2 linked regions of the Mytilus edulis genome follow. The protein of the gene in region 1 purifies or fractionates together with the protein of each later gene. This does not show direct contact. Links are inferred from orthologs where the notes say so. Each region holds a gene or a part of one and is shown on either strand. Other genes may lie near its edges. The genes, in order: E3 ubiquitin-protein ligase MARCHF6-like and perilipin-2-like.

Region 1 (7,752 bases):
CTGCCACATAATTGTCCAGGGCCTTTTGATCTATAAATAAAAAGGCAGTGTGAAAATAGGCCTTTATTTGGAGTTATCCTTATTTAGCAAATGTTTAGTTGAAAAGTATGACTGAATGTTGATAAAAACAGAATTTGTAAGTTGATAAATGCAGAATTTACATTTTAATACGTTTTTTTTTGTGTGTGAAAAAAAACCCAAAGCAACTTTCTTTTTTAAGCTGTTTGTGACTTCTTTATTAGTTAACTTGAAGATTGTTTTTACTCAAATAGTTGATTTTCCATTTTTTTTTATATTTGTCAGCAGTAATTTGCCCACCTCTTGCTTCAAACCAATTTTTCAGTCCCATAAATTATTTTGAAATATAGATGTGTGATTTAAGAACATTATGCTCACAAACAATGGATAAGTATGTATTTATATAATTTTTTAAACGTTTCTCAAAATGTTACACAAGAAATCTAAACAGGAAGTTTTATCTCAGACATGTTGTTTAGGTTTCTTTGGGGGGCCATAGTATATATATATATTTTTCAAACTAAGAGGATAAACACTGAGATGTTGCCTGCTTTTCTAAAAATCATTAAATTTGATGTTGAAAGTCTGATATCAAGGTTTAAATGCAGATATATGGGAAAAGATGTTACCTGTAACTTCCTGTAGCGATATCCCAGATATTAACAGTTTTATCCCAGGAACCAGTAGCAAACTTTCTCTCATCATGACTGATATCACAGCATGATATTATATTGATATGTCCTCTGCAAGAAAAGTGTCAAATAATAAAACTTTAATTATCTATTTTTAACATTTCATACAGTATCATATCATACACTAAGTGCATTTCACTTAAACAAAAATGCTAAAGTTCTGATAACATCATTTTATTTTACTCTGATAAGTACATTCTAATTTCTAATCCAGCCTTACAGTGTCAGAAATACTGTGAATCAGTAAAATGCAAACTCAAGATTTAGTACATTTACTTGGTCACAGCAGAATACTTATTTCAAAATAGATCTTAGAAAATGTTTCCCTGTGCCAAGTCAGGAGCCTGTAAATAGTGGTTTAATTTTGTCCTTTGGGGCATTTTATAGCTTGCTGTGTGGTTAGGGTTTTGCTCATTGTTAAATCTGTACTGTGAGTCACAGACCTCTAGTTATTAACCTACTTTATTTTTAGTCTTTGGTAGAGAGTTGTCTTATTGAATATCACATTACATCTTCTAATTTTTATATAATTTTATCTTAGTACATCATGCTTAGTTCATTTTATCTGTTTGAATTTCTGGTGAATGATATAACAACATTTTACTATAAACAGTACTTACTGTACAGTAATGGTGACTTTTAAAGTCTTTAGATCATAGAATTTGGCAGTTTTATCCATGGAGGTTGTAATAATCTTATCATCTCCAGGAGCAAACATACATTTCGTAATGGTACTGGTGTGAATATCTGAAATAAATACAAATGTAGGTTGAACAAATTAAGCTTGTACCATTGACGTCCATTCACTTAAACCAATCTTATGTTTTGACAATTACTTTAAAATTAGATCATCAGAAAAAAAGCACCAAAGTTTCAAAATCGTCAAAAGAACTGATTCTACCACTGCATTTAATAATTCTTCACTCTAATTTAACATGGTTGAAAAGCCTACATATTGTTAATTTCTTGATCAAAGTAAAATAAACTGAAACAATTATTAGCATAACAACCTTTCATAATAATTGTTTCTTTATTAAATTAATAGATGAGATACTAAAACATCCAGTTTGTTTGTTTGTGAAATTCTAAAAGTAGTTCCACAACAATAGCTGGTAAAAAATTTGGTACCTAATAGATACAATGAGTAGCATACATTTTGCAAAATCCTAATACAGGATTAATTACAAACTTTTTTGTACATACCGTCAACATTATGTATGAGATCTCCTGTATTAGAGTCCCAGATTTTAACCGTGTTATCCAAGTCTGATCCAGAGACCACATATTTCCCATCATGTGAAAAATTACAACTTGTCACAATACCAGCATGTTTTCCTGACCACTGCAAGAAAAATAACGTTTTCATATTTTTCTTCTTTTGTAGTACCTACTCAATAATTGAAATCTTTCAGAAATAGGTTGATTAAAAGATTTTGTATTGATAGACCAGGAAGGCAGAGTGCCTGGAGAGAACCACTGACCTTTAGTAGATTTTGGAATAAGATGGAGATACTTAAGTAGTCCACATTTACAAACAAGATAATAACTTAACTACATTTCTTCATACTCAAAATAAAAATATATTAAATCATAGTGACATTTATCTTACAGCACCTCCAGCTGATTCAGTTTGTTTACTATTATAACCCAGATCGTGGTGACATTTAGCCTTACAGAGCATCCAGTTAATTCAGTTTATTTTATAACCTTAACTCACCACACAATTTCCAGATTCAATATCCCAAACAGCAACTTTCTTATCCCATCCACAACTAACAAATCTGTAAATAATCAATAACCTTAGTTACATTCAATATCCCAACATACAATGGTTAGTAACATTCAATATGATATCCCAACATACAATGGTTAGTAACATTCAATATCCCAACATACAATGCTTAGTAACATTCAATATCCCAACATACAATGGTTATTATGATTGATAGGTATTCCATCACATTTATAAAATTTAGATAAGATCATCATATCTGTTGAAATATTACTAAACTCATAATAATAAATACATAAAATTGAGAATGATATTTAAAAATGCTACAATTTTACTCCATGATTATTCAATGCTTCTATTTTTTGTTATAAATAATGTAACAGATTAATGAATAGATATGCATATGTTACCTCCTTCCATTGTCATTGACATTAGCTTGTGATATAATGCTATCATGACATCTTGTATAGTTATGGAGAACTTCTCCTGTCTCTACGTCCCAAATCTTGATTGTCTTGTCATCTGAGGCAGAGAGGATTTTCTGATCATTGTCAATGTATTTACAACTTCTTACTGAGTCTAAATGTCCACGGAAAACCTTTATTCTTAGCTGAAAAAGAAAATTACATACATGTACATATAAAAATAAGGAGGGCAGTCAGGGGTAATACTTGTATAAGTTATTTTCATTTACTTGTTACTAAGTTCATTTATATTTTCCAGAGTTTAGTGCGACATCTAATTTCACTGAACTATTACACATTTTTGCTTTGGGGCTAACTGAATCTGGCCTCTGGGTGCTGGATTTTCTCATTGTGTTGAAGAACAATTGTTGGCCTTGCACTGTAATCTGCTCTTTGGTCAGATTGTTGTCTCTTTTTTTTAAAACATTCCCCATTTTCATTCTAATATCGCGTTCATTATCACTGAACTAGTATATATTTGTTTAGGGGCCAGCTGAAGGATGCCTCTTGGTGTGGGTGTGGGAATTTCTCGCTACATTGAAGACCTGTTGGTGACCTTCTGCTGTTGTTTTTTTTCTATGGTCGGGTTGTTGTCTCTTTGGCACATTTCCCATTTCCATTCTCAATTTTAATGTGCATATTGTTATGCGTTTACTTTAATTTCTACATTGGCTAAAGGTATAGGGGGAGGGTTAAGATCTCATAAACATGTTTAGCCCCGCTGCAATTTTGCACCTGTCCCAAGTCAGGAGCCCCAGCTGGCCTTTGTTAGATGCTTGTATGATTTTTAATTTTAGTTTCTTGTGTATAATTTGGAGTTTAGTATGACGTCCATTATCACTGAACTAGTATACATTTTTTTAAGGGGCCAGCTGAAGGACACCTCCGGGTGCGGGAGTTTCTCACAACATTGAAGACCCATTGGTGGCCTTCAGCTGTTGTCTGCTGTATGGTATGGTTGTTGTCGCTTTGACACATTCCCCATTTCCTTTCTCAATTTTGTTAACCCTCTTGCTGCCAGTTGTTTTTCAGGGTTGCATTTCATATGCCAGAAAATACAACCGTTCAACGTTTGTGATGGACATGCTAAACAAATGACATCATTCAATATACATTGTACATGTGTGACATTATGCCGACCGTTACATTTGAGAGACATTGTAGAAACTTATAACACTTTTTAATTTTCACTCTTTTATTTTGATAAAGGTACAGCACTGACGTGAAGCTTGCATAAATTAAAACATGGACATATGTGTCCCTCCGTCAGGAAGAGGGTCAAACTTGGAATCTAGCCCAAACAAATTATGTTCAAATCAAATTTTGTAATGAAATTTTGATATCTAAACCTGAGCTAAATCTTCGTGTTCCCAAGTTGCCGTGGTTCGGCCAGCCTCGCTCTCATCTTGTACTATTTCAACTGATAATTCTTCTTCATCCATTGTCCATATGCAATGTTTCTTTTTCACATTTTATAAGTGTGTTTAGAAAATTTTCGCGTCCCTGGTTTCCTATCGGAAAGAAGAATAAATATTGACGTAAAATATATTAATTTAATTTATTTGTATTTGTAGCTTTATTTCAAGAACTATCACAAAACTATCATGAAAATAAAACTGAAATTCTGAATAAAATGTAATTTGACGAATATTATTGTTTACGACAACGACAATCTGACCTTGAACTTTCACAAATCGAAAATGGACGAGCCTCTGGATCCAGATGGACTCTTAGGTGGGTAAAATAAGGATCATGTTTTAATGATAGAAGAAGAAACAATTATATTTTGCACAAATCAAGCTATATGCTTCACATATCATTCAAATTTGGAAGCATTGCTGGTACACTACAGCTTTCTTTCTAAATTTTATGTTTAGTCGGACCAACTCACAAAGGTGCAGAAATTATCCAGCAAAGATTATTTACAGTTTCTTATGTTACATGTAATTAAAAGAAATATTAAACAGTTAAAACATATTAATATGGTTGGCAATACCATTTTTAACCCATGGTCTTGAATATATAATAATATTATGTCATGAATGTGATGTGAAAACATTTATAATGTTAAAATAAGAGATGTGATATTTATAATACACCTTATCGCTATTTGTCTGCCATTACTGGACATCACAAAAGTTCCAGTCAATTTTTACATCATAATAGAAAATATCTGACGCCGCAATAGAAAAGTGATTGTTGAATGAAGTCAAAAGTTCAAGCGGGATTTTTCGAAAGGTATCCAGTCGTTCGGGCCCCAAACCGATCCGGCCCCAAGTCAATCTGGCCCAAGTCGATCCGGCCCACGTCGATCCGTCCCCAAGTCGATCCGGCCCATAATAAAATATGAATTAACTAGATTTTGGAGGAATTTGTCACAAACTTTAACAGTATAAATGGAATTTGAAAAAAGTGTCCGATCGATGATGGATGACAACAGGTCAGCGAAGTATTGGAGTACCAGTTAACGAACTATTTTAAATCCATACGAAAATTAGTGTTATTGTGTCTGTTTGTATCGCAGTTTCTACATTTTTAAATTATGAAGTTATTTTCCATGATAACTTTTACTTTGAATTTCATGGCGATTTTTAACACACAGAATAGCTAAATAAATATTTACAGTCCAATGGACCTATAACATTTATCGCATAATAATGACTTGTTTAATCAAATCATTAGTCTATAATTGGTTTGTTTATTCAACAGTTGTCTGCTGATTGTGAACTAAGGTAATGCCACTCGTAATCACTTAATTCAATCCAATGCTGATTAATTAAAGTTACGTAATCTGTTTTTCAACAAGGTCTTTATAGTTTGATCTTCTGGTTTGGTGTAATTATTTGTATTTTTTTCAGGTTACATCAAAGGCTTCTATAACATATAAAAATATTCTATTCTATAACACTTTTTTTTGTAACATCGGATATGGACCATAATTTGCTATTGGGCTCCGTTTCCTATAACTATAGAAAAGTGATAAAATGTGAATTACTGTAAGAAAAGTTGCAACTACATCTAAAGATGCCATTATTTTTATCAATATACAAGTGTATGCTACTCTTCCCTAGAAAAAAAATTAAAATATACGAATTTCAAAGATTCTACAACCGTATTTTTGTGTCGTTTCTCGCGTTACTTTTTGCTTCCGAAGAGCATAACGCTGACTGATTTATAGATAATCGTCACTGGCAAATTCGTAACTTTTGCTTTCAAATAACAAAGAACATTGACCAATAGGAATAGTGAGAAGAAAATGCCGAGAACTATAAGTATTTATGTAGCAGATGTAAGCAGAGTGGCGTGATTTTTGTGTCCGATTTCGTAACGCAATTTTTAGATGATGTAATCTGCTTTGTTGTAATAGAATTCTTAAAAACAATATGCAAATATGGACTCTTCCGAGATGTTCAAACAGGTAAATCCGAGATGATTTACATTCTTGTTTTGATCTTCGTAATAATTAAGTAAGAAAATTACGTTATCGTTATGCGTTACATTTCACACGAAACAGAAGACCAGTTATTTATTAAAATTGTTTTTGTCCTTAAGTTCTAATCATTTCCGGTCATACATGAAACATGTGACTAACATGTGATAACGTCATTACGGCCGGATGTACGAAATACTAGGTCTAAACATTGTTTTTGTTTCCAACGGGATGTTAGCAAACATAATCTGTAGACTTGTTTCGTCTTGTTTAAAAGAGGAAAATACAATTGTCAAAGAGATTGCGCTGGTGGTCTGTTATTTTTCCTATGTGCATAATGTTACATATGATCCTGTGTGAAAATAAATGCCCAATGACTTGACAAAATCGATTTCATATTTGACAGACGTTAGAACACACTTCGTTTCCCGATAATGACGTGAAGAGTCCTTGGAAAAATCAATCTAAATTACGTCTCTTATCATTGTACCAATGCTCGTTGGATTGATTCAACTTCAGCAGTAAATATTACTGGATATTTTAGGTGAATAAATATAATTTAATAAAAAAATACATGTTAATATACCGTTACACTTGGAATGTACAAAGTTGGAATCTTTGTCACAGTTTTTAATTAATATTTTTTATTCATGTTCTGCAAACACTTATCAGAAACGCAATAAACTTGTCAAAGGAGAAGTAAACTTTTACCATGCATTACTTGAAAGGAAGTACTTAATTGATTTTAGCCCACTAAAGTAGGTTAAAATGTGGAAACCATGTAGATGGTGTACAGGTCACAAGTATCACATTGTGCCTATTTTAAAGATTTTAATTCCAAGTTAAAAGTTTTTTTCTTTACTGGATTTAAAGAATGTTACATTGCCAATGATTTGGAATAAATTGTATATAACTGGAATATCAAAACCAAATATTAAATACATTTTTTTGGCTTAAACATCAAGATACAACGATTATGGTATCCTGTATCAATGAAGAAAATATGGAAAATTCTGAATAAATTGTACTAATTGTTTTCAAAACAAGCACATATTAAGGAGTCTTATAATACTGTTACATTTAAGATGGATTTTAAGAAAAAGTATACTGTTCAGATTATTTTAAGCAGATTTTGCAATAAAATAAAACTAAAAAACTGCTTTCGGTTTCTTATGGTTTCCTGTCAGGTTTAAAAAAACTTTAATATAACATTGAAAATAGATTTTAAATATTAACATGAAGCATACTATGTAACACTAGTAATGGTGTTTATTTATGCCTTTTGAATTATATTGTGCAAAATAAAGAAAATAAAGTCTAAAAGATTGGTTTCCTGTTTGGTTTCATGTCACGTAAATGGTGAATCAAAATGTATTAATTTTTTCTCGAAAAACTCAATTATTCCATTCATACTAT
Region 2 (7,650 bases), on another chromosome or scaffold:
TCAGTTTTTAAACAAAGTAGGTCAAGGGAGTTCTATTTTTAAAACCTTATCTGGCCTTCAACTGATATACATTTTAGAAAACATAATGTTTTAAATGCATAACCTTCAATTGATATAAATTGAGATGACATGTTTGTACTTTGAACCAGTCTTGATTGATATCAGATGTGAGATGAATCACAAATCATATATGCATGTATAGACATTGTTAACTTCCATAAAATGTACTAATATCTTAAAGAGTACGCAAATGTACCAACTGAATTACTTAAACTGGCAACTTAATCTATTAATGTAAAATGGTTTATTTACTGGTACAATTTAAGATACAATACACTCACAAAACAAAGACCCATTGGTTGCCTTCGGCTGTTGTTTGCTCTATGGTCGGGTGGTTGTCGCTTTGACATATTCACCATTTCCTTTCTCAATTTTATAACAAATCTTTTATACACAGTGATTTGAAGTTTACTTCTGAAGCCAAGAGCTATTCATTCAGTGGTTATTTTTGGTGGATGTGTGTCACATTTGATTTTTTTTTTAATATTACATCAGCCCATAGGTGTTCTTGTTTAATATTACATAAGCCCATATGTGTTCTTGTTTAATATTACACCAGCCCATAGGTGTTCTTGTTTTAATATTACATCAGCCCGTAGGTGTTCTTGTTTTAATATTACATCAGCCCATGTGTGTTCTTGTTTAATATTACATCAGCCCATAGGTGTTCTTGTTTAATATTACATCAGCCCATAGGTGTTCTTGTTTAATATTACATCAGCCCATAGGTGTTCTTGTTTAATATTACATCAGCCCATAGGTGTTCTTGTTTGAATTATTTTACAGAATATCAAGTCGGGACTTTTCATACATGTAATTGTTTACATGTAGCTTACAGTACTATACATATACATATGTACAGTATGGGTTTTGACCATTGTTGAAGTCTTTTTGGGACCTAGTATAGTTTTTAACATCCAAATCATTTGATCTCTGGTGAATACATGTAAAATGTATCTTTTGAAATCATACCAAATAATTATTTCCTTTTTTTTTCAAAGTAAGTTAAATTTGTTATCCAATAAAAAAAGATGTTGCCTTTCTTACCTCTTCAGTAGGTTTGTTGATAACAGGGTATTTCTCTTCCAATTGGTTTAATTTCTCACAAGCATAACTGTTAGCTTTTTCTACAACTGTAAAATAGAAATTGTTAATTGACATTTCAATCTTGAAGAGGCTTTAATATAATAAAAAAATACATTTATAGCCCAGAATAGAGATGTATAATAACTATAGTTTATAGAGATAAACTGACAGGAATTTCTACAAAGACCATGCTTGAATGATTCACCTACATGTATAAACTATTCATTTTTTTACATAAATAAGGCCGTTAGTTTTCTCGTTTGAATTGTTTTACATTGTCTTATCAGGGCCTATTATAGCTGACTATTCGGTATGGGCTTTGCTCATTGTTGAAGGCCGTACGGTGACCTACAGTTGTTAATGTCTATGTCATTTTGGTCTTTTGTGGATAGTTCTCTCATTGGCAGTCATACCACATCTTCTTTTTTATACTCTGTATTATATCCTAAATTTAAAAGCTAGTTTTTTTTCTATTCAAGTTGCAATTTTTAATCAAATTGTATATCCTAAACTCATAATGACACAGATTAACAATGATTAATGGGATATTTTTTTTTTCATACATCTAACATGTCTAATTGTTGAAATATGCATGTTTGTATTATACACTATACAATTGTATGTATAATGTCTACTACAATCATCAATGTATCAGAACTATAATTGGACAGAATACTAAATTAACATCATGTGCCAAGACTTAAACCTTACTTTAATTACATGTTCAGTGAATTATCATACATTGCTGCTATTTTGTCGAGTGTATTTTCTGTAGTATGTCATTTTATTTTATTATTTTTATAACACTTGTTACATATCTTTTATTGTCTGTGTATTGCATATGTTATTGATTATAATATTGTCTGTATGCTATATATGCTCTCCTGGGGCCCTTATTTGGTAAATATATTCTATACATCAGATGATCTATTACTGGGCTGCTTTGATTTTTGCATTCAAATATTATTGTTTTTCTTGTCATTATCCTCCTTCCCCATCATCCAGGCTAACTATTGACCTTCAGAACTTACTTTGTGGTTGGTATCGTTCTACCAATGGTTTACCAAACACTACTGATGTATCCACCACAGTTTTAACACCAGCCTCTGCCATGTTTAGAGAGGACTTCAGTAATTCATGGGATCCTTTAGTTCTCTGGTAGAGATTGTAGGCCTGCGTCCAGGCTGAACTGACCACTGGGATCTTTCCCAGTTGATTTATAAATTGTTGATCTTCCATTATCCTTCGTTGTTCCTCCATGTGTTGTCTGTACATACGATCTCTGTAATAAACATTAAATATTTGAGGATATATTTATTTTTAATTGAGCTCAAAATTCACAAAATAAAACTATTAATCTATAAATTATAAGACCACTTTGAAAATCTAAATTTTTCTTTTGTGTCAAGATCAATGTTTTTATTATTTCATAAACTACAGAAACAAAACAAGTGCCTGTGTCTCGTACATAATTTCTCTCTGTCAAGTCCTCATCCCTGACTCTGTGCAACAAGTATTAACATTTTTAACACACCGTCACGCTATGACATAATATGTATGTCCAGACATCATGACATGAGACAATGAAACCGTAAAACCCTTTTTCTGGTAGATGATACATTTTTTAAATGAACAATATTCTGTTCATTATGATATAGAACTATTTAAACATGTTTTTTGTTGAAAAGAGTAGAACTTACCACGATATCTGTTTTAATTTGACAAAGAAACACCGCTCTGCGGATTTATAAGCTGACTGATAAGCTAAAAACACGTCTGAGATCAAAGTCCGAAATTCCTTATGTGACGTCACGGAAACTACCCTAATGAAACTGAGGGTCGACAAGGTTTTTATTTTAAATTAAACAAATATTCTGCGTCATTTTGGATTTGCTACAATATCAAAGATTGACTTAATCAATGAATATACAAGTACTTTAGTTTACGGTTTAATTAAAATCAATACGATAAACATATACAAATACATTAAAATTACCCTCAAACTACCCCGAGAGGGAAATCCTTCACTCAGCTGACAATGACGTGTCTTATCATTGTTGACCTTGACCCCTGAAAATGACATTATAGACCAAAAAACATGATCACTTCGTGCTGCAACTACGTAGCTTATTTTCGGAAAATAAAATATTTGTATCAGTTATATTTTTTATTTGCGAACTGTAATCAAAATCAAGGCTTACAAAGCAATACACTGAAATAATTTCATAATTAAATGAAATTTTAAATGTCCGAAGCTAGATCTTCGAATATAAGGGGGGGGGGGGGGGGGGGGGGGGGCTATTTTAAAGAAATTTAAATCACGGCATCCCGAAATTCGAAACAAGAATTCCCGGATCACGAAAGGATCAATCCCGAAATCCCGAGCTTTAATTAAAACATCCTATCCCGACGTCGCGAAAAAGGTCCTGCCCCACCCCCACCCCAAATATAGGCCGCAGAGATTTTTCACGTCTCTGGTTTCAAGTCATGTATAATTCATACAGTTTTAAACCTACATCATAGATGTCATATATATTTCTTCATTATCCTGCATTTTGCTCAGTAATTTAAAATACTCCTTCATTCTCAGTGTTATATAGCCTTAATTTTATTCCCTTTATTACAATTGAATGTGTGAATTGCACACAAGGGAATTTTGGTACACTACTAACTAAGTTTATAAAAAGAAATATAAAAAAAGGAATCAAAATCAAGTCAAGGACAAAAACAACTGATTTAACTTGACGGCCATTTAATTCTAATTCTTTAATTGGCACCTTATAAAAAGGTTTATCTTTTTGCATATATTCTTTATCATATTGTTTATAAAATATTTATATACTTGGAAAGTATTTAAATAATTCTTTTTCATTTTGTTTTTAAATTTCTTTGATATTTAAAATAAATACAAGAATAGAAGGGACTATGTCACCAAGAACAGTCACATCATTAAAAATGTGCTTTCTTAATTTAGGGGGCCTTATGAACAAGGAGGGTAACAAAACGGATGATCCCCTTTTCTTAAACAAAATTGATAAATATGATTTGGCTTTTTTTGCTGAAACACACATTGGATATGAGTCCAACATTCATAGAATAGGTCCTTTTAATTGTTATAATGTATGTAGACCTAAAACTAGGGCAAACAACAGATTTTTTGGTGGGTTGGCAGTATTAGTTAAAAAAAATATCAAACCTTATGTAAAAATTCTCAAAAACACTTGTACTGACATTATGTGGATAAAGTTAGAAAAGGATTTTTTTGGTTTTCAAAAAGACTTATATATGTGTGTAGTGTATAACCCACCCTCAATGTCATCATATACTCAGGGACTCGACCGGGACATTACTGAATGTTTAGAACAGGAAACTGCAAAATATATGAAAATGGGTAATGTTTTACTGTGTGGTGATTTTAATGCAAGAATTGCCAATTCCCCTGATTAAATTTTAAATGATGATCAATCTTATTTACCTCTTTTTGATAATTATCCAATTGATAAGCAAATCTTGAAAAGACAAAGCAGTGATACAACAATTGATTCAAGGGGAAAGAGTCTATTAGATCTCTGTATTCTAAACCAGTTAAGGATACTAAATGGTCGAGTCCTAGGGGATGTTTTTGGAAAGTACACATGTTATACGCCAAACGGCAGTAGTGTGGTTGACTATGTGATGGTGTCGGAGAGTATTCTGGATCAAATTTTATATTTTTATGTTCACAACTTTATGCCTACTATTTCAGATCGTCATTGTATACTGGAATGGGAAATGTCAAGTAAATTTACTGTTGATGATAATGATTGTAATATTAATATGTTTGATAAATCTCCAAATTTCATATGGTCAGATGAATCACCTACAAACTTTCAAACAGCTCTATTATTACCAGATATACAAACACAAATTGATACATTTAATAAAAGTATAATCAAAGAGTCTCAATCCTCTGTCGATGAGGCTGCAGCAGAATTATCACATATTTTCCTGTCTGCTGCTACTAATTCTTTAAAAAGAAATAAACTAAGAAATAAGAAAATAAAGACAAAAAAATGGTTTGATGGAGATTTGTACCATCTTCGAAACAAATTAATAAGTTACGGTAAAATATATTCAAAATTTCCTTATGACCCATTAGTGAGAGGTCACTATTATAAGCTTAATAAGCAATATTCTAAACTTAGAAAATTTAAGTATAAAGAATATAAAAAATCACTTGTTGAGCAGTTACAGAATCTACATGATGATAATCCTAAATCTTATTGGAAGTTAATTAATGATTTAAAAAATAATGATAATAAGGACCATAGTTCTGCTGTAGCACCATCTGTGTGGGTTTCACATTTCAATGGATTATATCAATTACATGAGTCATTCAAAGAAAGAGTGGCTAAGTTGGAAAAAAAGCTAGATAATCTTGAAAAAAATGTTTGTTTTAATAATCTTGATAAACTTATAACAGAGAAAGAAATTTCTTTTGCCATTTCTAAACTACGTTGTAACAAATCACCAGGCTTGGATAACATTTCAAACAATATGATTAAACACAGTCAAAATGTTTTACTATCGTCTCTTTCAAAAATATTTAATTCTTGTCTGTCTCATGGTTTATACCCAAGAAATTGGACCGAAGGTTATATTACAGTATTACATAAGTCAGGTGAAGTCACTGACCCAAATAATTATAGAGGACTAACAATCACTAATGCAATTGGTAAGCTTTTTAACAGTATACTTAATATAAGGTTGGATAGTTTTTTAGAAGAAAATAATGTAATTAATGATTGCCAAATAGGTTTCACAAGAAAGGCAAGAACATCTGACCATATGTTTGTTTTAAAATGTATTTTTGATAAATACTGTAATACTAAGGATGGGAGAGTGTTTGCTTGCTTTGTTGATTTTCATAAAGCTTTTGATAAAGTAATACATACAGGAATTAGAATTAAGCTGTTAGAGATTGGGGTTAGTTCAAGGTTTTATAGCGTTATAAAGAATATGTATCTTGAAACTAGATCTTGTATAAAAATACATGATAAAATAACTGAATTCTTTCAAACAAAGCTTGGTGTTAAACAAGGAGATAACTTGAGTCCTAACTTGTTTAAAATCTTTATAAATAGCCTTCCAGACTATTTTACACGAACCAGAGATCCAATTATGCTGGATGGCAAACTCATTCATTGCCTTATGTATGCTGATGACATTGTAATTTTATCTAACTCAGCTGAAGGACTACAAGAGAAATTAAATGAACTTCATAATTTTTGCAATGACTGGTGCTTAGATATAAATACTAAAAAAACTAAAGTGTTGATATTCAACAAGGCAGGCAGACATATCTCTCAAAAATTTATTTTCAACAAAGATGAGCTGGAGTGTGTATCTAATTATAAATATTTGGGTATCCAATTTAATGCATCATGTTCTTTTTCATATGCTCAGAATGATTTATACCAAAGAGCCTTAAAAGCATACTTCAAACTATGTAATGATTTTTTAGTGCATAATCCTACTGTTAAAAATGCAATTCATGTTTTTGACCATACAATAAAGCCTATACTTTTATATGGGTGTGAAATTTGGGGATATTTCAATCCCTTTACTGCACGTTTAAAAAAAGAAAACATAACAGTGGATACAATTTACTCAAGGATACTTTGTGAAAAACTTCATATTAAATTCTGCAAATATATTTTAGGCGTTAATAGGAAGAGTACAAACTTTGCAGTTTTGTCTGAATTAGGCCGTTTTCCACTTCACTATGATATAGTTAAACATGTTTTAGGATATTGGCATCGTTTAGAAAATATTGGCTCATCATTTCCCTTGTTAAAAGCTGCATATAATTGTTCTAAAAAGCTATTTGAAACAAAAAAAACCTCTTGGTATGGATCAATTAATATTTTAAGGGAAAAAATGTCAGGCATAGAAAAACATATTCTTGAAAAATACTCAACATTTAAACTACACTGTGGTCAGATAGTTAAGGGATACTATACTGCATTGTGGAAAAAACAGCTAGACATACATAAAGATGGTAAACTACGAACTTATGTAACATTCAAGTGCAACTATGGTTTTGAAAATTATTTGTCAATAATTCGACATTTTGAGCAAAGGAAATGTATTACTAGATTAAGAATATCTGCTCACAAATTGCAAATTGAATCTGGTAGATACCAGGGTACTCTTCGACAAAACCGAATTTGTCTCAGGTGCACCTCAGGTGAGGTTGAGGATGAAGTTCATTTTTTTATTTAAATGTGACACTCATTTATTAAAAAGAGAGGAAATGATGCAAAATATATTAAAATCATGTCCAAACTTTCAAAATTTAAATATTGATAACAAATTAATTTGGATAATGAATAATGAGGATCCTAATGTACTATTTGCATTGTACAAATATATAGAAGATACTAAGAATTAAAGTACAACTTAATCTGCAATAACTAATTCATTATAACTCTTTAATATGAATTTGGATACCCTGTTAAGCCT

Evidence for each region.
Region 2: the proteins of E3 ubiquitin-protein ligase MARCHF6-like (region 1) and perilipin-2-like purify together in Homo sapiens (affinity purification with western blotting; 3 studies listed by BioGRID). This does not show direct contact. The link is inferred for Mytilus edulis from reciprocal best matches to the Homo sapiens genes MARCHF6 and PLIN2.

What each region holds. Positions count from the first base shown.
Region 1 is NC_092348.1:8,292,840-8,300,591, reverse strand, and holds the start of E3 ubiquitin-protein ligase MARCHF6-like, read left to right. Parts: upstream 1-4,517; 5' UTR 4,518-4,606; coding exon 4,607-4,640; intron 4,641-7,752. Other genes in the region: WD repeat-containing protein 88-like, read right to left, coding at 1-30, 648-761, 1,331-1,457, 1,914-2,052, 2,428-2,491, 2,853-3,052, 4,256-4,348. UniProt on the Homo sapiens protein: Endoplasmic reticulum membrane-associated E3 ubiquitin ligase that plays a critical role in mitigating endoplasmic reticulum stress, the regulation of cholesterol and lipid homeostasis, and ferroptosis.
Region 2 is NC_092347.1:24,719,644-24,727,293, forward strand, and holds the start of perilipin-2-like, read right to left. Parts: upstream 3,080-7,650; 5' UTR 2,847-3,079; exon of another isoform or gene 2,615-2,846; intron 2,429-2,614; 5' UTR 2,422-2,428; coding exon 2,178-2,421; intron 1,194-2,177; coding exon 1,108-1,193; intron 1-1,107. UniProt on the Homo sapiens protein: Structural component of lipid droplets, which is required for the formation and maintenance of lipid storage droplets.